4 linked regions of the Nothobranchius furzeri genome follow. The protein of the gene in region 4 interacts with the protein of the main gene of each other region in a pairwise test. Links are inferred from orthologs where the notes say so. Each region holds a gene or a part of one and is shown on either strand. Other genes may lie near its edges.

Region 1 (5,983 bases), on a different chromosome or scaffold from region 4:
TCATATTTTGGAGCGATCTGGACAGATTTATTGTCTCTACAGTTTAGTCGGCTTTTATTAGGCTTCTATAAAGGATGATGAGAAGGATACATGTCCACCAGGCAGTTCAGATAGTACGGCTGTTTTTTGAACTGGAAGCAGAGGAAGTGGGCGGAGACTCACAGCCGGAGTCTGAGGCAAATAGCGAGGATGTTGATGACGATGTGGCAGATCCACAGGTCTGTCTTCGCTCACGTCCGCAGGTTCATTCCACGCCCCTTGTCTTCTACTACGTTCGCGTCTTACAACAACACAATAGGCGCACCGCACCACAGGGCGCGGCGTACATTTTGGAGAAAATTTAAGACTCTTAGGTGCGCCTTATGGTCGTGAAAATACGGTACTTGTAAACCCTGGGAACGAGGGTCTGTCTGGTTACTGAGGTGGGCATTGTAACGTGTCTGCAGGTAGCGATGACTGCTCCGTCAGGTTGTGGGAGGTGTGCTCGTCCCGTTGCATGAAGACAATCCAGGTGGGCGGAGCTGTAAAGAGCGTTGCATGGAACCCAAACCCGTCTCTGTGTCTCCTGGCTGTTGCTGTGTAAGGATCTGGTTTTCTGTCTGTTTTGCAGATCAATCTGTTACATGCATCCTTTTTATTTTTTTATTTATTTCTGTTTTTTTAGGGAGTCCACCGTCTTGATCCTGTCTCCTGCTCTGGCAGACAAACTGGTAATTTCATCATCAGAGAAGTTTCTTACTGGTCAGCAGGAAGAGGGGCCTTCAGATGGAGCAGACCCTGTGGTCTGGTCAGAAACTGAGGGGGAGGAGCTAAATCAGGGGATCCGTCTCAAGATCAAGCACCCCAAAGTGAGACTGTCCTCTAAATAATTCTGGGTTTTGTCTGGTGGGAACTAACTGGTCAGCGTCCCCACAGGTTGTCCACCAGGTGACGTGGCATGCTAAAGGAGACTACCTGGCATCTGTGATGCCTGAACACTCAAGCCACCTGCAGGTGTTCATCCACCAGGTGAGCAAGAGACGGAGCCAGAATCCCTTCAGGAAGAGTAAAGGTCTTGTCCAGTGCGTGTCCTTCCACCCCATCAGGCCCTACTTCTTTGTAGCCACTCAGCGTTGTGTGAGGATCTACAACCTAGTCAAACAGGAAATGACCAAAAAACTACAAGCCAACTCCAAGTGGATCTCCAGTATAGCAGTCCACCCTGGAGGTCAGTAGGTCACAACGGCACCGCCTCAGTGTAAACGTTAAAGATAGTTCTATAGAAGAGCTTTAGTTTCACCTGTCTGACTTACCTGCAGGTGATCATGTGATCTGTGGGAGCTACGACTGCAGGATGAGCTGGTTTGACCTTGATCTCTCAACCAAACCTTACAAAATGCTGCGGTACGCTCCTAAGAGTCCATCAGTAGTCTTTGTCATTGTGCCAGTTCTAATAAAGCTTTTTGATCACTTCTTTCCTTCAGACACCATAAGAAAGCAGTGAGGGGTGTGGCCTATCACAGAGGTTACCCTCTGTTTGCCTCGGCGTCTGATGATGGATCGGTGATCGTCTGTCACGGGACTGTTTACAAGTAAGACCACAAACACACCCTGAAAATCTATTCATAACAAGACTTATAAAAGACAGGATATTAAAACTTGCCGCCGTCTCTTCCAGCGACCTGCTTCAGAACCCGCTGATAGTACCTGTAAAAGTTCTCAGAGGTCATGTGATCACCCACGATCTTGGTGTTCTGGACGTGATCTTTCACCCCACTCAGCCGTGGGTCTTTTCCTCAGGAGCTGACGCCACCATCCGGCTCTTCACCTAAAGTGTTTTAACCAGCAGCAGCTCTGTGTGTGTGTGGGAGGAGTCTGACCTCCCTAATGGACTGATTACCAGGATACCTTCTTCTTTTTTTTTTGTTTTGTTTTCTGTAGTTTATTTTATTGTTTTCAATAAAATGTATTTTATTGTTTTCAATAAAATATATTGTTCTTACAATTTGTCTCTGTATGTTAAAACTAGGAGAATTATTGATTCTTTTTTTAAAACCTACAAAATGTAGTTTTATTTGTCTGCCTTCATTTTAAAGGAGTTTGTGTTGCGGTTACCTTTTTGAAAAACAAGACCATTTATTACAGCTTTCAAAAAGGAAATAAAATTATCTAAAATTATCAACATAATTACAGCTCTAAAGGTTTTTTTTTTTTGTTTGTTTGTTTTGTTGCCAGAGGCAGAAATTAGGACTATCCCAAATATAAAGTATTTGTGCTTCAAATTTCATCATTATGGATATTTTTAACTTGAACCAAGTTTTTGGGTATTTTGTACAAAGCTTGTTTCTAATAGTAAAAGTATTTGTAATAACCATGTAAATGCACGACTGCGCAGGCCTGGGAATATTTGTTGTATCTGTTGTTTAACCAGGTTAAAGGCCTCTCTTAAGAATAAAATCTCTAAGAATATCAGCTTTCTTTATGTATCAGTTGTGCTGAACACAAGCGGGAACTATGTTTAACGAAAATATTCGGGTACCAGGGTCTGCAAAATGTTCTTAGAATATTTACTACAAACAATTTTCTTTATAATGAAGTTGGTGTGACAAGAGTTTTCAACCATGGGGACACATTTCGAAGTGACACCGTCGGAGCGGTTTCGGTGTAACACCGAACCGCGAGTTCTGTTACTGGTAAATCCATTCTGTTACATCATGAAAAAAACTTCAGTTTGTTGGGTTTTACATAATTATTCGTCAAATTTTGTAGCAAAAAACAAACAATTTTCTTTATAATGAAGTTGATGTGACAAGAGTTTTCAACCATGGGGACACATTTCGAAGTGACACCGTCGGAGCGGTTTCGGTGTAACACCGAACCATGAAGGCAGTAAAGGATCGAATCACACCGAGTCGTGAGTTCTGTGTTTACACCAGCTGTTACTGGTAAATCCATTCTGTTACATCATGATTAAAAAAAACTCCAGTTTGTTGGGTTTTACATAATTATTCATCAAATTTTGTAGCAAAACGCAGTTGGCTTAAATGGTAGCTGCTACATTCTTATGGATATGATTTTATTATTATTAGATTATTTTTGCTGTTTGATTAGTGATGTCTTAATTTGCTTTGCAGTGAGGAGAATGTGTGGAAGTTGTGTGAGTTTGTTCAAACAGCGAGGACTGCTCCACTGGAACAGCTCTTTGTGGTTTTCATCTCTAATGACAACAGAATGGTGAGAAGATCAGCTCTGAGAAGTTTGTCATGTGTTACAAAACCCTTTAAACATATTTAACTCAACAGATTTAGTCTCAACAGGTCTAAAGTTTAACAAATCATCACGAATCCCCTTAAATTTGCCAAGTTTGTATAAAGAATCAACATTTTCACTAAGATCTGACTTCTGCTGCTGCTGCTGATCAGTGATGTTATTTGTTCTCCTTCAGGTTCCTCTGTGGAAGCAGAAGTCTGGACACGCTGACCATCCAGTGATCTGGGTCTATGATTCTCCTTCCTGTTAAAGTGGCCTCAGAGCATTAAAATAATACATTGTTAATCATGTTTTTTTGGGTGTTTTAGGACTACCATGTGATCCTGCTTCATGTGGATCCTCAGTCGGAGGTTCTGGTTTATGATCTGGACACAGAGCTGTCATTCCCATGCAATCTGAGGCTTTATGGCAGCCAGGCCCTCCGCTCAGACCACCACATCAAACCTGAATATCACAGGTAGCACTGCTGAATTACACAGGTAATGCACTGGAGTGAAATCACCAACACCTTCTCATATCTGTGACAGGAAGTTGCGTGTGATTCCTGCTGAGAGCTTCCTCTTGAACTTTGCGTCTGATCGAACTCACATGAAGAACCCTGATGGGAGCTGGAAGAAGCCCCCTCCCTCTTACCCCCCTTTAAAGACCACTGGTAACAAATCAAGTTAATGTGGAGCATGTTTTCTGATTCCTGTCTTAGGAAAAGGTGATTTTGTACTTTTGGTGCATTTCCTCTTCAGGGTGTCAGATGAACCTGGATGACTTCATCAGCATGAGCCCAGCTGTTGGCTGGGGGACAGTTTTCAGTCTGAATCAGTTTCTACAGAAATACTTAGGTTGCTCCTCCACCACCTCTTCATCTTCATCATCAGCTCAATCCTGATCAGCATCCTGGCAGCTGCTGTTTTGTGATTAGCTTTTATGTTATTATGAACATTTAATCTGAAATGATTGAGAGACTGAGACAAACATTGAACTGAACTTTATGTTTTGGGCTGAGCTGCATCTCGTTTGACCTCTCTTGAGTTTCACCTTGGCCTCTGAAGCTCAGAGGAAACCAGAAACATGACGACGACAGCGCTTCAGCCATGTCACAGATTCATCTGGAAACTGAAGTGATCCTTCATCACACACGCCTGTGAGAACTTTGAGCATCAGCACCTTGATTTCACCTGAGTTCCTGAGAAATAAAAAGATTTTATTTAATCTTTGATCGCGTTGGATTCTCTGTCTCTGTAGCGCAATGATAGAATAAAAATTAAATGTATAATTGTAACTTTTGGTGTCAATTTGAATCTTGGTTTCCAGAATATTTTAACAATTAAAACTTGGTGAAATTATGCAGATTCTAGTTAACAGCAGATTTGTGTTTGGGTATAAGTTCTATTTACCGTTATAGATGACTGGTGGAACTTGTGCAATCACTTTCACCTGTCATATGTTTGTGTTCAGTATGGCAGGAGTGGTTAGGACACTGGTTTAAACAGGAGGATCAGGCATGTTTGGTTTCAAATTCTTTTCTGGAAGAAGCTCAGGACAGCAACATCCAGATAAAGTAAGCAACCTGTTTTATTTTATCAATCAAACAATCTTTAAGATTATTTTCTTTTGAGTTCTTTGTCCCTTTGAGAAATGCACATCTCTTTAGAACAAACATGAGCGACAACAACAACTCTGACCAGGACGGGGGTCGGCAACCAGCGGCTCTGGAGCCGCATGTGGCTCTTCCATCCATCTGATGCGGCTCTCTGTGCTTGTAAAATAATGAATGGATATTTAAATAAAATGCTTTATATTTTACTGCATACATTTTACATCTGTATGCCAATTCTAAATGTAAAGATTGTCTGCGTAAACCTGAACAGTTCCAACCCGGTCTTACTGTGAGACCGGGTTGACGCGTCACGCTTGTGCGTAATCATAGGTGCTTTCTGAGCTGAAGAGGATATGAGATTCTGGGATTCTCCTCAGACGGCTCCTGGATGTGTCGCCACATTGGAGACAGGAACAAGCGCTATTCAGCCAAAGTTTCATAATCAGGTGTAGGAGAAACTGGCTTGGCTCAGCCATATTGTAGCGTTGTGGTCTTACGCTCTTTTATGAAAGAGGAACCATGCTACGTATTAATTCGGAATATTAATTTTTAATAAATCAATAACCAAATTTTATATTGTTAAGAAGACTCAAAGGTTGTTTTCATCAATAAACTGACGATAATATCTGTGTGTCTGTGTTTCAGTTCAATGAGGAAACCAGTTTGACAATTAAAAGTTTTAATTCTTCAAATTAAACTAATGATTTTGAAATTGACAAACAGGAAATAACAATCAACATTGGCAACTTGTGGGACAATCTTTAACAGTTGATATGATCAAATAGACCTTGTGGTGAATTTATGAAGATTGAGAATGTTGTGATATGACTGCGTGTGTGAGTCTGATTTTGCTTCAGGAAGAAACAGGTGTCTGAGTGAAGTGATGGTTTGGATAAACTTAGGTCTTATCAGAGAACTGCATCAAACGCTAAACACCGTGTTCTGTCTCACCGAACTCTTGTGGACCCTCTTTCGGATCCGGGCCGTGGAGGATGGTGATGGTTCATCCAGGTGACACCAACGGCTGACAGGGGAGACGTAGGTGTCGAACGGAACCGTTCCAGAGTTGCCCTCGGTACACGTTGATGGTAAAGCGTTTTGGCGATGCGCTTGTTAAGTTTAGTTCACTCAGAAATCAAA
Region 2 (6,334 bases), on a different chromosome or scaffold from region 4:
GCTTCGTGTGCTTTTTGTGCCCTCATCTCCTCAGAAGAAAAAGCCCGACACGTGGAGTTCTTCACTGTGGACGCAGAGGTCTCCTCTGCTGTCGAGGCCATTTCTTCAGAACCTCCAATGGAGATTCTTGCCCCTGGGTTTGGGTCGGCCGACTCAGACTTGGCTGGGCCTTCAAACAACAAGCCCTTCAGCTTAGCTTCCTCTCTCTTCGAGGCCTTTGAGTCAGGCCAACAAGCCACTCTCGGATGAGACATGGGTCATGACTTCCAGTTCTCTTCATCCACTCCTCCTCCCACCATTCGGGCTTTGCTACAGGAACTGCCGTCCCTCGTAGCATTGGCCGCTGAAAACAAAGGTCTGACAGTTCCCACCCTGGCGCCATCGGAGTCGGCCGACTTCACGGGCTGGTTTGGTGCTCCCAGACCCGGTGTCCAAACCCCGGTTCCCGACTGCTATGGACTACTGGAACGGCTCCTACCTGGAACCATCCAAGCTGAAGGCACCTATCTCTACTTAAATGACAAATGACCCACACTTGTATAGCGCCTCTCAGAGTAAGGACTCCAAAGCGCTTTACACTACAGTGTATCATTCATCCATTCACACACACATTCACACACTGATGGTGATGAGCTACGATGTAGCCACAGCTGCCCTGGGGCGCGCTGACAGAGGCGACTACTTACACTCCCATCATAAAAGTAGAAGCTTAGGCTTTTGGGCCTCGTATTACCAGCGCCATAGACACAGAACTCTCCCCTACTGTGTGTGACTTGGTCCAACCAAACACCAGCCGACGCACCGCCAGCAGACCCAGGATGTGGGAAGACTGCCGTGCCCAACGGGGCCGCTACAGGCGACCTTCTGGACAGGGCTCCTTCCAGCCCCAACCCTCACAACCTGCTGCTGCTCCTCCTTCTCTGCAACTGCTGGCCCAATGGCAGCGGCGTCACAGAATGAGACCTCTAGCTCCTGTCTGGCAGAGCCAGTACCAAGAGCAGTTTCCTAAAAGACAAAGGCAATGACTCGGGGAGACGTGTGGTGATGTTCATGTTCGTGTTCCTTTTGATTCCACATTAAGTTGTGTTCAAGGCATTCTGGCATGATGTTTGAACAATGTTTCTCCTCATATGGTTCTGATGAGCACTCAGTTTTCAGACACGTTTCCCACACGTAATGCATTCCTTCCTACTGGACATTCAGTTAAAGTTTGCAGTGGGTTAGCTACAGCCTCTTGCTGGTTTGCCCCTGACACAAACAACACGCTAACGAGGAAAATGTTTCCTCCGCTTATTTGCCGCACGTCTCTGCACACAACACATCTCCTGTGCATGTGTGCCGTCCAGGCGAACGCGGCGACGGCGGTAGGGTTCAGCTATGGCTCATGCATGCGTGTCCTCTCTCTCAAAATGTGCAAGAATTGGTACGAATCTGCAACACGAGCGCATGGTTTCACAACATTGTATATCGTGGTCACAAGCTTCATTTTCGGTCTCGTCCTCCGCCATTTGAGGGGATTGTGGTAACCAAACTGACATCATCAGATAATTATCTTGCCCTTAGATCAGAGCTGAGGGAACTCCTGGAAAAGGAAGCAATTTCCAGGGTTCAGAAAGGCGAGGAAAACTCAGGATTCTGCTCCCTCTACTTCCTGGTTCTGAAGAAGACGTGAGGAGCCAGGCCCGTTCTCGATCTGTCCTTGTTCAACCGCTTCATGGCGGTAAAACACTTCCATAAACTGACAATAAAACAGGTTCTAAGTTATGTGCACCCGGGTTAGGGTCCTCACACTTTGCACTTTCTCCAAATGCCTGGAGATGGCGCTTCAACCCTTACGCACTGCGGGCATGAGGATCCTCTTTTACTCTTTTATGATCTGCTGCTGCTGACATGCTCCGAGCCCGAAGTGGAATCACAGACGCAGGCGTTAGCAGACCACCTGCTCAGGCTGGGGATTTCCAAAAATTGGGAAAAAAGCTCCGTGATCGCTTCTTGGGTGATCACGTCATGGGAGTGGAACTGAACTCTGGGATCAGGAAAGCTTGCCTGTCTCAACTCTGGGTCTGCTTCACATGAGATGCATCCACCTTCCCCCACTCTTTCCACAAGCACGTCCTTGTGCTCCCGCGCAGGGTGCCACAAACTTCACATCCATGGACCTACTTGACAGTACTACATGGATCCTGCCAACAACGCCAAATGTGGCAAGGTGGAGAAACGAGGGCCCGGGCGGGATTCGATCCCCTGACTCCCGGGTGAGAGTCATGTGTTCTTACCAGTCAGCCAAAGGGACATCCCCATGGCCAAGTAGCCAGGGCGCATGATCAATCGGGACATTGTGACAGGACACTCACACTGTCACACATTGATAGTTCAGACGCCTCAAGGTTCACCCGATCCACCACAAACGCCGCATGATGATTGTCTCTAAGAAGACCCTAAGAAGAGCTGTTTCAGTTGAATGAGCTCTATGAAAACCTGACTGGAAACCATCATAGATGTTATGTTCATCAAGATCAGCTGTGAGTTGTTTGGCCACAACCTTTTCCAAGATCTTGGAGATGAACGGAAGTTTAGAGATGGGTCAAGACTGGGTTTTTTTTAAAGATTTGGGTTGGTTACAGCATTCTTAAAGCGCTCAGGGACCTGACCAGAAACCAAAGAAACATTAATTATAGAGAACACACTTGAACTGACGGATTTTTGCCGCAACACAGTTGTAAACAATAACTTCTAAATCTATTTTGCCTGGTTATTTTATTTTATTTTATTTTATATTTTATTTTATTTTATTTTATTTTGCGTCTTGGTGTGGATAACATGTATTTCCAGCTTTGGTTTTCAAGGTGTAGTACCACCATTCGCCACCTAGCCGCAGTAATAAGCTGAGGCGGAGTTAAACTCTCCAAAACCCACGAAGAAGAGCGAGCGTCGCCATGGCGGAAACAAAGCAGCAGGCAGGTAAAAAAATCCACCGGGATGTTGTTTCTTCGTTAAGTTCAGAGTCAAAGTGGTAAAAATGTCTTTAATCGTAGCGTTTAAGCCGCTTTTCTCCATGAGAACGAGTTTTACGGCGGTTAAACTAACCCGGAAGATACACGCTGACTTAGAGACAGAATAAGCTAACATTATCTTCACATTTTAATCACGTGATTAAAATGCTGTCTCATTTTAAATGTATTTGTAATATTTTTTATTGCTCGTGATGTTTTTTTAGCGTTTAATACATCCAGTTGGTTGTTTGGCAATCTTCGGTGTTTTACTGCAGGAATGTACCTCGGAAAGTATTCTTAACGTTGAATTACAGTGTTTTTCAATAATGTTCCAAATAGTTTATTTAATTTTTTCTCTATTCAATATTTCTAGGAACAACTTTCATAAATAACTATTGGGGGGGGTGGGGGGGGGGGGGGGGTAGATGCCCGTTCTTATTTCTATTTAAATATGCTGATTTTAGCAACAACAAACTCATTTTCGTATTTAATCCAACAGAATTAAATAAATTAATTAGAGCTGAGACCTGAATGACAGCAGGACTTCCTCTGTGTCCAGTGAAATAAGAATAATATATAAAATCACCGTCAGCCAGAGTTTTTGGTCCAAAGCTTTATGATTTAACTGAGTGAATGTTTTCAGCCTCCTCCCCTGAAGATGAAGCTCCTGAAGTTTCCGCCCAGGCCAGCTTCATGATACCTAAGAAGGAAATCAGCATGGTGCCCGACATGGGGAAGTGGAAGAGATCTCAGGTAGGTGTCTACCTGCAGCTCTGACACATGTAGCTCACATCCGTTTGGTTCTTTTCCTCTGACTTGTGTTTAAAGGAGAAAACCCCATCAGTTTAGTTTTATAGAAACCAGATGTTCAGATTGAGCTGATGGTGGAGGACATGAACCTGACATGGCGTCTCTGGTGTGTGTCTAAGGTTCTGCTTGTGCCCCACAGGCCTACGCCGACTACATAAGCTTCATCGTCACGCTGAATGAAGGAGTGAAGGGAAAGAAGATGTCGTGTGAATATGAAGTCTCCGAGGTTTGGTTTTTTTTAATGTCTGAAATGGTTTTTATTTTGACTCGGACACCTTTAGAGATGTTCCTCCTAGAGACGGAGTTCCTTTGGACTGAGAACACGGTTCTCCAGTTTTTGTCTCAGCGGACAAACAAAGTCCCTTAAGTAGGGTTGTCACGGTGTGAAAATGTAACCCCTCAGTTATTGTGACCAAAATTATCACGGTTTTCGGTATTAACGCGGTATTTTTTTAAACGTGTTACATTTTCAGACAACTAAATAAACCCTGTATATCAGGAAAATATTGTCCTCGGTTTGTGTCCTTCCAGTGAGCTTTGCAGATTTGGGAAAATGTCATCAGGCAGTAATCATTGTTAAATTCATAATTATTCTCGGAGAGACCAACTCTTATCTGCCCCTGGGAGCCCCGTCATGCATAGCGTCATTTCAACATGGCGGTGTCCGCGACACGGTTTATATGCAGGTAGCGGCACTGCGGCTGCTTTATATAGCGACTCGTTGCATTCTCCCTCAACCCAAATCCTCGGATCACGCATTTTAGCTAAAGCGCTAACGTTAGCTTGCCTTGCGTTGACTGTAGAGTTGTGGGTGATGGTCACGCAGATGTGTCATGAGATTTGAAGCGTTGCTGCCTTTCACAGACACTTTTTCTGCACCTGCTGCAAACAGGATAGCCGTCTTCTATCAACTGTCCCTCGGCATTCTTCAGATATCCAAAAGATGCCCGTACTTCCCACTTTGTCTTCTTTGAGGGATAATAAATGTACTCCTGAGCGCTGCCGTCTCCTCCTTTGGCCATTATTTCAGCTTTAGCTTCAAGAAAGTTTTGGTTGTAAACAACAAAGTGCGCATGTGCCGCCGGCAACTTCAGCAGATGATACGGTGGCTGGTAAGGGTCACCGCGCCTACACCGCAGCCACGGTAATCCACCGAGATAACATATGTTTTAAAAAAACAAGATGGTTATTATTATTGTCAACTTTTTTACCGGGGTTTACCGCTACACTGGTTACCGTGACAACCCTACCCTTAAGGAGGAGGTTTTCCCTCTGCAGCGTTCCGGTTCCTCCTACTCGTGGAGGTGTTCTGACGCTTCGAACAGCAGGTGATGAAGCCGCTTCATGTGGTTGCTTGTTGCAGACGGTGGACAGGCTGCTGGAGCTTTTGGGGACTTTGGACCGTTGGATAAACGAGACTCCTCCTGTTGACCAGCCGTCGCGTTTCGGTAACAAAGCCTACAGAACCTGGTTTGCCAAACTGGAGCAGGTTGGTTCAGACTTCCTCCCACACCGCCGAACCCCCACGCCGTTGATGCTGAGTGTGTCGTTCCTGTGTGTTCCCAGGAAGCCGAGACCTTGGTGTCCGCCGTACTTCCTGCCGACAGATCCGCTGCTGCTCCAGAGATTGCCGTCTACCTGAAAGAGTCGGTCGGGAACCCCACCAGGATAGACTATGGAACGGGTAACAAAGTGGGATTCTGATCCTGCTTCCCTTCCCGGCAGCCAGACTTCCTGTTAAACTGGTTCTGAAGGGACGGTCCTCCAGACCCTCTGGAGGTCTGATGGAGTTTGTGTTCTCAGGTCATGAAGCAGCTTTTGCGGCGTTCCTCTGCTGCCTGTGTAAAGTTGGAGCTCTCAGAGCAGAGGATCAACTCGCCATTGTCTTTAAGGTTTTTGACAGGTGAGCTCTTACTGGTGATGGCACACGGTTACTGGGAACTACTGGTGTAAAAATGGTGCTCCACTTCAGTTTCACCTCTAGAGGCGGAGCTCTAGTGTCGTGTTCCTGAGTGATGGGGCTGATGGAGGCGAGAAGGACCAGCCGAGCAGGACTTTGTCTCTAGTGAGGAGCTGAGCTGGAAGCTCTGGATTTACTGGGCCATCTAAACCCTCACCTGAGGTCATGAGATCTGGATCAGCACCTGAAGATCCAGGACCCAAGCTGCCTCCTCACTGAAAGGAGGCTGTTCTGATTAGGACACCTCCTTATTTAGAGTTAGGTTTTGATGCTTCTCTTGTTCGACCGAGCTATAACATCTGGAACATCTGTGTGTTCTTGAGGTACCTCCAGGTGATGAGGAAGCTGCAGAAAACCTACAGGATGGAGCCGGCTGGGAGCCAAGGAGTCTGGGGCCTGGATGACTTCCAGTTCCTGCCCTTCATCTGGGGCAGCTCCCAGTTCATAGGTGAGGCTCCGCCCACAGAGTTAGGCGATGCACGGACCACTAACACTTTAGTTGTGCTTTTACTAAAATCCTGAACACATCCAAAATGGTGTTCCTGGGACTGCTGCCAGGGCAGAAGGCAGT
Region 3 (5,058 bases), on a different chromosome or scaffold from region 4:
AAAAGTGCTTCAGCTGCTGGTTGGAATTTATTAAGAATCTAAAGGAAGTTTCCCCAAAATTCAGTGAAACGTGTATTTAAAGAGCATTTTATTCATCTTTCCCTGATAAACACAAACCATTGCAACTGTGAGTTCTTGTTTTTCCCCCCATTTTTGCTGCATTACAGTGTTAAAATCCATCCTTCTACACTCATCTCCTCCCGTCTGGATTAGGCTAACTCAGCTCAGATCCTACATGACTCTTATGGGTTTTTCTTGTTCTTTTTTGATTGCTTTCTGTAACGGTCACTTTCATTTAGACAAAAACATGTTATAAGTGTGTTTGTTTCTGACCACAACCAAAGTGTGGGAACTGAAGAAGCTTCTGGGATGAGAGGCTAAATGTCTCCAACATAACCAGAAAAGTCCAGCTGTTTATAACTGAAACCATCAGGATGATCATGTCCAGGATGACTGAGTCGACACCTCCGTGCTGCAGCAGCATTCAGTCAGAACAAAAAGTGAAGCTTGAATGTAGCTGCTGTCAGTAACAATCTAACAGATTTAAACATTAAAACTCACACCAGATTAAATAGTTCAAAAAGGAAATAAAAAATGTCACAACTGTGTGTTGTGACATTTTTTATTTTTATATTATTATCCCTGTGGGCTACAGTGGGCATAACCCGGTGTGGTCCACCAGAGAGAAAGCTCTGCAGGCGACAGACAGCTGGTGTGTTCAGCTCTGAAAAGTGCCGATCAGAATTTGCAGATCACGTTTGTTTTTCACGGAGGTCAGCTGCGAATTCCTCTTCCGGTCAGGATCTAGGAATTGAAATAAAAAACTGAGCGTTTTTGGTTCTTTTTAAAACACAGGAAAGGTTTCTGTGTTTTAAAAAGAACCAAAATGTTATTAGAAACTAGACACAGTAACAACACACCAAAGAAACTTTGAGCGTTTCCGGGAAAAACTCACTCCTGGTCCCGGTTCCCATCGATGCTCGATGCCCAACTCTACAGTTAAGTCACTCCAATGTTTTAGTTGTTATAAAAGACAGTTTATACAGCTTATCTTGGCTTCTATTTCATCTATTTTTCAGCTGATTGTTTTAGTGTTTGTACATTTTCCATCTTTTGTTATTTAGTCTCAATGTTATTTTTCTCTTTTTATGCTAAATTTTGAAATGTTTTTGATGCTTCATCTCATTAAAAGTGCTGGATTTGTTCCGTGTAAGCATCTTTGGTCTTCTGCCATGCTACTTTTATACATGCTATATAAATAAAGATGGTATGGAACAAGACACATTCTGAAGTGTCAGTATAAAACAAAACCAGTCTTCATAAAGACCTGAACTTACGCGGCACTCAAGTGTTTTAATTCTGCTCTTTTTAACTTACCTGGTAACCGTCCTGCAGCCAGAGCATCACCTGGCAGGTGTCCGTTCACACCGTTGGATGGCAGGTTTGCCATGTGACCCAGCATCCCGCTGCGCATTTCCAGGTCGGTGGGATAAGGTCTGCGTGGATCTCCTGTCACCAACGTTTGGATGGTGTGTTAATGAAGTCAAACCTGCCCTCTACTGACAGCCAGTGGGAACTGCAGGGGCCTCCAGCTCCTACCTGGCACCCAGTTGAGTGGAGCACACACGGCGTTGCTGGCACTGATTCGGTGAGCGTATTTGATGATTTCCTCTGATGAAATGCTTCCTGCAATTAAAAACTCAAAATCAAGACAAATGAAAGAAAAACAAGAACAAGACAGACTTCATTAGTGTGTGTGTGTGTGTGTTCCATGTGTGTGTGTACGTGTGTGTGCGCGCGTGTGTGTTACGTGTGTGTGTACGTGTGTGTTTCGTGTGTGTGTGTGTGTGTGCGTGCGTGTGTGTGTTCCATGTGTGTGTGCGTGTGTGTGCCTGCGTGTTACGTGTGTGTGTGCCTGCGTGCACGTTTGTGTGTTCCGTGTGTGTGTGTGTGTGTGTGTGTGTGTGTGTGTGTGTGTGTGTGTGCGTGCGTTCCATGTGTGTGTGTGTGTGTGTGCGTGCGTTCCATGTGTGTGTGTGTGCGTGCGTGTGTGTGTTCCATGTGTGTGTGCGTGTGTGTGCATGCGTGTTACGTGTGTGTGTGTGTGCCTGCGTGCACGTTTGTGTGTTCCGTGTGTGTGTGTGTGTGTGTGTGTTCCATGTGTGTGTGCGTGTGTGTGCATGCGTGTTACGTGTGTGTGTGCCTGCGTGCACGTTTGTGTGTTCCGTGTGTGTGTGTGTGTGTGCATGCGTTCCATGTGTGTGTGTGTGTGTGTGTGTGTGCGTGCGTTCCATGTGTGTGTGTGTGTGTGTGTGTGTGTGTGTGTGTGCGTGCATGTGTGTGTTCCATGTGTGTGTGCGTGTGTGTGCATGCGTGTTACGTGTGTGTGTGTGTGTGCCTGCGTGCACGTTTGTGTGTTCCGTGTGTGTGTGTGTGTGTGTGTGTGCGTGCGTTCCATGTGTGTGTGTGTGTGTGTGTGCGTTCCATGTGTGTGTGTGTGCGTGCGTGTGTGTGTTCCGTGTGTGTGTGCATGCGTGTTACGTGTGTGTGTGCCTGCGTGCACGTTTGTGTGTTCCGTGTGTGTGTGTGCGTGCGTGCGTGTTCTGTGTGTGTGTTCCATGTGAGTGTGTTCCGTGTGTGTGTGTGTGTGTGTGTGTTCCTCACCTTTCCGGGCTTTTTCTATAGACTTAAGTTTCTCTTTTGCCTGGTAAACAGCGGTGGCCTTAAATAAAAGAACAAGGGAACCAAAAATCATTTGAGGAAAGAAAACACTCAGATTTAAAGAATGATGTGTTTGTGAGTTTCTACTAATTATTCATGTTGACCAAAACCAGCAGCGTTGGTGGAGACTTCACACAAACCCACTCTGAAGCAGCAGCTGCTCCACCCTTCTCCATGACAGCTTCATGCTTTTGTTTGGTTTGTAAATTCCCATCAGCTATTGTAAAAGTTCAGTCTTTAAGCAGTTTACAAACAAGCAGCAGCACACAGCTGCAGGAATGGAATGCAGCTCATACAGATGGTGCTAAATCATATCACCGCATTGCAATTCCTACAACAAACCTACTAGTATGTGTTCGGCCTCCTTCAGCTGCTTCTGGAGCTGCTGGATGTCGCTGTCTCTTTTCTCCACCTCCTTCTCCAGCAGCTGCATCTCCTGGTGAACCTTCCCCTGCTGCTGGGCCACCTCCATCAGCTCCTGGAACTCCGTGTCCCTCTGCACCAGCAGATCAATGATCTAGATGGGAAAAACAGATTGCAAATGTTACATCCAAATTCATATTCAAAGGATAACCAGTTAACAGCCATGGCATGTCTAATCAGCAGACTTTGCTGCATCATTATAGACACCAGTGTACCTCAGATCTTCCAGGAAAAGTGATTCCAACAATAACAATAATAGGTAGTAGTTGAAATGTAAACACTCAAAAATGAAAAGGCAGCAGAAAAAAAATGCCAAAAATACAACAACGTCAAATAAAACCAATACAGAAATCAAACATCATCTCATTATGAGGAATATAACATCAAATCTGCACGGAGAAGTAAAAAGTGTCTCCTGAGGGTACCTGAACATACTGTGAAAGGCAGAAGATGGGATTTGCCAGATTCTGGGGGCGTGGCAACTAGACGCCGGCTGGTGCTTGTCAGGTGTGATGAGGCCGGAGATGATAAAAGGGTGGCAGATCTACCAAGGTGTGTGTGTGTATGGTCGACCTGTCATTGTGACACCCGGTTCTGGGGGGTGGGATCGTTCGCAGTTGGTTAGGACTGCCGGCGATGAAGACAGCTGAGTAGGTGGGCAGTGTTCCAGTGCTAGGACGGGAGGCTTGACGCCTTCTTTAGGTAGCGAGGGCTGGGAGTATTTGGGTGCCGAGACCACGCCGACATCTGCCACAGCAAACTCTGGCAGCCGGACCCGAGCCATGGACTCACCTGCCGTCCACGCAAGCTGAACCCCGGGGCGTTGGACGGTGTTGGAAGCTCAGACCCCGGGGAGGGGGTCGCATCGACTGGGCCAGCTAAGTACCTGATTGTTTGATTTTACTTATGCTGAACAGCTGGTTTTGTCTTAAAGGGACAAGAGGCAGTAGCCGACGAGTTCCACAGCGGAACTCGCCCGTGGTGTTTTATTATTCAGTTGTGCTAATAACGGGTATTTTTGATCATTTCTGCCTACTGGTGTTGTTTTAGGTTCTGACTGGAGGGTAAGACTTTCTGCCAGCGCACCCACTGAAACTTATATTAAAATACTTTACATAGAAGTAGGGTTGTCATGGTAACCGGTGTAGCAGTGAACTCTGGGGAAAAAAGTTGACAATAATAATAACCGCCTTGTTTTTAAAAAAACTATATTATCTCGGTGATTACAGTGGCTGCGGTGACCCTTACCAGCCACCGTATCATCTGCTGAAGTTGCCGGCGGCACATGCGCGCTTTGTTGTTTACAACCAAAACTTTCTTGAAGCTAAAGCTGAAATAATGGCCAAAGGAGGAGACGGCAGCGCTCAGGACATTTATTATCCCTCAAAGAAGACAAAGGGGGAAGTACGGGCATCTTTTGGATATTTGAAGAATGCCGAGGGAGTTGATAGAAGACGACTATCCTGTTTGCAGCACGTGCAGAAAAAGTGTCTGTGAAAGGCAGCAACGCTTCAAATCTCATGACACATCTGCGTGACCATCACCCACAACTCTACAGTCAACGCAAGGCAAGCTAACGTTAGCGTTTTAGCTAAAATGTGTGATCCGAGGATTTGGGTTGAGGGAGAATGCAACGAGTCGCTATATAAAGCAGCCGCAGCGCCGCTACCTGCATATAAACCGTGTCGACGCGGACACCCCCATGTTGAAATGACGCTATGCATTACGGGGCTCCCAGGGACAGATAAGAGTTGGTCTCTCTCCGAGAATAATTATGAATTTAACAATGATTACTGCTTGATGACATTTTCCCACATCTGCAAAGCTCACTGGAAGGACACAAACTGAGGACAATATTTTCCTGATATAGGGTTTATTACTCAAGTAAGGGTAAAAAATATCTGATTAGAAGGC
Region 4 (5,878 bases):
GTCTGATTTACAAAGAAGTTAATCCTCAGCACAAAAAGAAAAAAAACAGACAGGTCTGTACCCAGACTGCCCTTCCAGCTTGTGTCTTTGCGTTCTTCAGTGATCGGGGAGCTGCTGAGTCCAAGGCTGTGAGACAGTAACCCTGACCCACCAGAGCCAGTGTTAGAGATGGACATCAGAGACTTAGATGGTCTCATTGCAGATGGTGCATCTGACTTGGTGGGCTCTTTTCTGGAGCGCTGGTGGAGAACTTTGATCATGGCGTCCTTCTCAATGATCTGTGCATGGAGATTCTTTATCCTGGAGGATATAAGAACAGAATACAGCTTTAGCTCCCTTAATCGAGAGAAATTGAGTGTGCAAGTCAGCACTAATCCCACCTGCTTCTTTAATTAACAGGTTCAGCAATAGGCAACAACCTTAACCCCGACCCAAGGTAACAGGAACCTTTACAGCTATACAGTGACACCATGTGACCCTTCTCTCTGCATTTCCATCAGAGAGGAGAGGTTTCTCTGCTGCGGTTAACAGTTTCCAGACAATGCTCTCAGCTGGTTAACACTGGTAATGTAACCATGAGTCCGAGTTAGGAAAACTTCTGTGGTTCTGGTGGTCCATCCATCAGTAGTCTGAGCTATGTGGTGTTTCACAAAAGTCTTTGACTCATCACTCCTGCAGTTAAAGTTCAGGAGCGACGACGCCTCAGCGGTCAGGGTGAGGGGAGCCTGCACGTCATGTACATGTGAATGAAGACAGAAGTGCACACAGTGAATGTGGCTCTAACCTGCTCTCCATGTCCAGGCAGCGACGATTAGCCATGAGGATCTCCTCTTCCTCCTTCTGGATGCGAGCTTCCAGCGACGTGTCGTAGCTGCTGCTTGGTGAGTGGTTTATTCCTGCTGCAGAAGCATCCCTGCACAACAAAGGTCAAAGTTCACGTCAACAGAACGGCGGCTTCCAGTCATCAGGTGAGTTTTACCATGTCTCTCACTCTAGTCCATATACATAGACCAGGAGTCTCCTGCCTTGTTGTACCTTTGAAAATAGTCTTTGCACATGGGACATGGGGACTGTGTCCACATGTACACCAATGAGGATAATGTGCATTTCAGTCTGTGGAGGAAATGTGTGGAACAGGGCTGATGAGGAATTAAAAAGCTGTGTAATTATAAATCAACTAAAATATTTTATTAAAAGAATCATTAATGCAGGAGTACATGTGATGGGCCGTATTTCTGCATGATCTGGTGAGCGAGTTAGTGTTATGTGTGACATGGAGGACACCTTAAGTATACAAATATTTATATGGGTGTTTTTATTGGATGAGGCATCTGGGGGGTAGGATTTAATGAGCACATCATAATTTTCCTGTCATTTCCTGATTAGATCTGTTATTAATTATTTAATAATAATAATAAAATAATAAATAATATAATTAATATTTTTTATGTCTGAAATGAAGATGTCATTCATTCATTCACCAGCACAATTTACTCCTCAAAACATTCCGTTCAGGCACAAGAAGTGTAAATTATTACTTGTATTACATGTGGGGTTACCATGGTAATGTAACATTTTCATTGAGAACAACGTGAAATTCCTCCCGCCTTACACAGACTGTGCTGTTCCTATGACGCTGGTCAGAAGATTCGATTGATGTGGGACTACAACAACATACTCAGCAGCTTTTGGATATTATAATCGGTTTCAGTCTAGTGGGGATTTTTGGCTCATTTGAGATTTTGTAATGAGATGCGATCTTTCACCTGCTGTGGGCTAAATGGAAGCGTGCAGCCTAACACGTAGAGGATTCCTATTACAAAATCTCTAACTGACTACACTTACCACATGTTGGTAAGGTAACGAGTATGTTGGACATTAAATGACCCAAGTCCAGATGTTCCTGCGTGAGACGTATAGCTATGCAGACGACACCCAGCTCTATCGGTCATTTCCACCAGACGACCACACTGTCTCTGCACGAATATCAAACTGTCTCTCTGACATATCAAAATGGATGAAATCCCACCATCTTCAACTCAACCTCTCTAAAACTGAACTACTTGTCATCCCAGCGAAACCATCCATACAGCACAATATCTCAATCCAGAATGACTTCCTGTCTCTGGCTCCTTCAAATGCAGTTCGAAATCTGGGTGTTGTGATTGATGAACACCTGACCTTTAAAGATCATGTTGCCTCTGTTGCTCGTTCATGCCGCTTTGCGCTGTATAACATACGAAAGATCAGACCATACCTAACACAACATGCCACCCAGCTCCTGGTGCAATCTACTGTCATCTCCCGCCTCGACTACTGCAATGCCCTTCTAACTGGTCTTCCAGGCTGTACTGTGAGACCTCTTCAAATGGTCCAGAACGCAGCGGCGCGTCTGGTCTTCAATCAGCCAAAAAGAGCACACGTCACCCCTCTGTTCATTGAGCTCCACTGGCTACCGCTAGCAGCACGCATCAAATTCAAATTGCTAACACTAGCATACAAAGTCCGAGATGGTACGGCTCCCCTCTACCTGAATCCTCTTGCAAAGGCTTACGTCTCGGCCCGGCCGCTCCGGTCATCACAGGATCATCGGCTAGCAGTGCCTACACCACGCTCAGGACAATCCAGACTCTTCTCATGCATCGTTCCACAAATGTGGAATGACCTTCCAAGCACTACCAGAACAGCGGCTTCCTTTTCAATTTTCAAGAAACTCCTGAAGACCCTGCTCTTCAGAGAGCATCTTCTAAACTAGCACCCTCCCTGCACCCGTCCCCCCTCTCTACTGTCCACTCCTTGTTCCCTCCTCTCCATGACTGATGTCAAGTTGTTGTTAGCCTCAAGGGCAACATGCCGATTATCACTTGTAAGTCGCTTTGGACAAACGCGTCTGCTAAATACATAAACATAAACATAACGCCCCTAACTGGAGAAACGCTCACCTCTGAGTAGCAACAGAAGCAGCAGCATCCAGAGCAAACTGCCTCATCACGCTCTCCTCCAAGTACTTCTGCTCCCACTTGGTCATGTCGGCCTCTAGAGCCAGAATCCGTTCCTCCTTCTCCCTTAGATGCTCCATCAGGGCTGTGGCGTTGTACTCAGACGGGACGGCACCGCTGCTCTGAGAGCTTCCCTGACGCTGCGAGGCGAGGAGACAAAAAGGTAAAAGTGGGGTTTTATCTCCCCGTCAAAATGTTTACTGTAGAAACAAAAGCAACAAAGCTTCTGAACAAAACGTTAAAAAGTGTTTGAGTTTTACTAAAATATTAACTGTTATATTTAGAGTTTCCACAGGTGTGGGCCTTGTGGTCTAGTCTTCACTCAAGGAGAGCTGCCACCTCCTAAACCTTTCTGATGCCTGACGTTGTATGATCAGGAAGGAATGAAGCCAAGTACAAGGCAGGAGAGCAGAATCCCCTGCAGCCCAACACCTGGATCACATCAGACGCAGATGCGCGACGATGCGTCGTGAAGCGCTGTGGAACGAAGAGCGCTTCTACTCGGCGCCCTTGTTAACCTACGGTCTCAATCACATCAGCTGTGAAGTGCCGAAGGCTCGCGGCGTGCAGCGATCATTTTGGTGTGTGCTCTTTTTCACGAGCCGTGTGAATTTTGTCAGGAAGTCAAACAGAAGAGGCAGGCCAGTAAATGTAACAAAATAAAGACTTTTTTCTAAATAAAGCACAGCGATTGATAAATGTGATCATTTTTGTGTATCTAAACAGAATAGAGATGAAAATGAACAAAGACACAAACACTCACACACACACACACACACACGCACAGCAAGGGCATGAGGGTGGGGTGGGGGGGGTGGGGGGGGGACGGTAGGCGTGAGCAGAAGCGCTTGTTGAAAAATCTCGCCTGATATAAACAGAGCAGCAGCGGGCAGCACTCAAATTTCGTGAGCGATCCACTTAGTGGCGCTTCGCTGCTGATGTGATCCTGGCTTAAAGTGGCAAAGCCAAAAGAACAGGTGGAGGACTTCCCAGTGCTCCTGCTTTGGAGTGCAGATCAACAATGAACTAGACAGAGAAGACATCTCCAGTCTTACAAGTGTTCTGACACGACTTTAGCGTGACACTCAGGAACGGACAACTCTTTCTGCTGCAAACTCTGGAGATGTGAGATAAGCTGAGGAACGTGTTAGACCAGGTGTGGTGGAGCGTTTATGAACATTGTCTGCTACTTTTACTTAGCTTGTTTTATTTAGCTGCACCCAGATGCATGGTCACCCCCACAACAGGCCTGCTCAATAACTTGTGATGAAGTCGAGGAGCCGTGAGTGCACAACGCTGCCTTACCTGCTGCAGGCGGAGAGATTCCAGCTCTCTTTCCAGTCTTGTTCGCAACCGATGTTCAAGCTGTTCCCTCTTCTCACAAGCTGCCTGCAGCTGAGCCAGAGCCTGCTGCATCCTCTCCACCTTCTCCACGTAAACCTGCTTCTTCTTCAGCTACACACACACACACACACACATTAGAAACACAGCTCTGGACAGTTTGATGGATGAATTATGATCTAATCACTGAGAACAGGACGTTCACACTAGCTGGACGAGGTTTTTCCAGGATTGTACGTTTCAAAGGTGATTAAAATTATGTTTGATTCTGAAAAAAAGAATCAAATCTAATATATATATATATATATATATATATATATATATGTGTGTGTATATATATATAACATACATACATACATACATGCATATACATATATATATTTATATATATAAATTTTAATGTTTAAATTTTATTTTGATGATTATGCGGCACACTTTGACTTCCATATGTAGCGCATCTGCCGCGGTTAGGGTTAGCGGTGTTCTAACCATTATTTGTACATCCACCATGTCCCAAACACGGTGAAACAAACTTCAAACTCAGCGTTTGGAGCTTGTAAGGCAGCACCAGCTGTCTGATGTTGCGAGCTGCAGCAGCGTCAATCTTTCCGGCTGGATGAATGAATTTCGTCATCAGAGAGTCAATATTCTGCTTCCTAACTGGAGTCAATAATGACCAGACAAAGCTATCAGTTAAACACCAGATCAGCCGGCCATTGCAAGTGTTTTCCCTCTAATATTCGCCCTCTTTGTGCTGCACTCTCCTCCTCGTCTCGTCCTCTCCCTGACCGGGAACCCCTCAGTCCTGTCTAACTCCCCGTTGTCCCCTGACTGGCTGACCCACCACTGGAGGACGTTTTTACACAGACGGACTACGTAAAAGAGCACTACCTCCTCCTCCAGCTTGACCACTTTGGCCTGAGCATTGTTGAGGGCCTGGTCTCTGATCTCGATGTGTCTCCTCTGGTCATCTGTGGTGGAGCGGAGGGCATTTAGCTCCATCTCCACCTTCTCTTTCTCACGCAGCGTTTCTTTGTCTGTAGATGTAGAAGAATGGAAACTCAGCATGAAGAGGTAGAGCTGGGCAATATGGAATCATTCATCAGGTTAGGGTGTGTGTGTGTGTGTGCGTGCGTGCGTGCGTGCGTGTGTGTGTGTGTGTGAGTGTGTGTCTGACTCTGTGTCAGCAGCTGGGAGATGGTTTTGCGGTTGTCCTCTGAGCCGTCACACTCTTTTGAGGCGAGCTGCTTGTTGGCCATCTCCATGCGCTCTGTGGAAACGCAGCAGAACAGATTCATGCCACCGCTGCTGTTGTTTAATAGTGACTCAGAATATGGATACAAAATATTAAGAACACAAACTGCAAGAAGAGCACAACTGTGCTGGATAAGCTGCTGTTTGCAGAGCAAAACAAAAGCCGCCCATCATTTCTTCTTTTTTATTTTAGTGTGATCCAAAAACAATAAGTGACTCATTTTTTTGTTATTTGTTTTTGAATCTAAAACACAAAAACAAAGAGGCTTTTCTTTTCACACAGC

What was found.
Region 1: the proteins of amot (region 4) and ntaq1 interact in binary tests that used the Homo sapiens proteins (3 or more experiments, as listed by UniProt). The two-hybrid records come from large-scale screens. The link is inferred for Nothobranchius furzeri from reciprocal best matches to the Homo sapiens genes AMOT and NTAQ1.
Region 2: the proteins of amot (region 4) and ptpa interact in binary tests that used the Homo sapiens proteins (3 or more experiments, as listed by UniProt). The two-hybrid records come from large-scale screens. The link is inferred for Nothobranchius furzeri from reciprocal best matches to the Homo sapiens genes AMOT and PTPA.
Region 3: the proteins of amot (region 4) and med4 interact in binary tests that used the Homo sapiens proteins (3 or more experiments, as listed by UniProt). The two-hybrid records come from large-scale screens. The link is inferred for Nothobranchius furzeri from reciprocal best matches to the Homo sapiens genes AMOT and MED4.

The regions. Positions count from the first base shown.
Region 1 is NC_091759.1:9,345,210-9,351,192, forward strand, and holds ntaq1 (protein N-terminal glutamine amidohydrolase), read left to right. Parts: upstream 1-2,765; 5' UTR 2,766-2,859; coding exon 2,860-2,924; intron 2,925-3,113; coding exon 3,114-3,213; intron 3,214-3,424; coding exon 3,425-3,475; intron 3,476-3,557; coding exon 3,558-3,706; intron 3,707-3,776; coding exon 3,777-3,901; intron 3,902-3,989; coding exon 3,990-4,132; 3' UTR 4,133-4,460; downstream 4,461-5,983. Other genes in the region: ribosome biogenesis protein bop1, read left to right, coding at 447-579, 665-848, 916-1,207, 1,299-1,383, 1,464-1,571, 1,658-1,811. UniProt on the Homo sapiens protein: Mediates the side-chain deamidation of N-terminal glutamine residues to glutamate, an important step in N-end rule pathway of protein degradation.
Region 2 is NC_091746.1:70,996,987-71,003,320, reverse strand, and holds the start of ptpa (serine/threonine-protein phosphatase 2A activator), read left to right. Parts: upstream 1-2,814; 5' UTR 2,815-2,936; coding exon 2,937-2,961; intron 2,962-3,636; coding exon 3,637-3,746; intron 3,747-3,942; coding exon 3,943-4,029; intron 4,030-5,166; coding exon 5,167-5,292; intron 5,293-5,369; coding exon 5,370-5,487; intron 5,488-5,606; coding exon 5,607-5,706; intron 5,707-6,086; coding exon 6,087-6,211; intron 6,212-6,334. UniProt on the Homo sapiens protein: PPIases accelerate the folding of proteins. It catalyzes the cis-trans isomerization of proline imidic peptide bonds in oligopeptides. Acts as a regulatory subunit for serine/threonine-protein phosphatase 2A (PP2A).
Region 3 is NC_091754.1:35,368,740-35,373,797, reverse strand, and holds part of med4 (mediator of RNA polymerase II transcription subunit 4), read right to left. Parts: intron 3,239-5,058; coding exon 3,068-3,238; intron 2,723-3,067; coding exon 2,665-2,722; intron 1,687-2,664; coding exon 1,600-1,686; intron 1,510-1,599; coding exon 1,378-1,509; intron 1-1,377. UniProt on the Homo sapiens protein: Component of the Mediator complex, a coactivator involved in the regulated transcription of nearly all RNA polymerase II-dependent genes.
Region 4 is NC_091750.1:44,157,207-44,163,084, forward strand, and holds part of amot (angiomotin), read right to left. Parts: intron 5,611-5,878; coding exon 5,518-5,610; intron 5,378-5,517; coding exon 5,232-5,377; intron 4,455-5,231; coding exon 4,305-4,454; intron 3,140-4,304; coding exon 2,943-3,139; intron 914-2,942; coding exon 785-913; intron 301-784; coding exon 62-300; intron 1-61.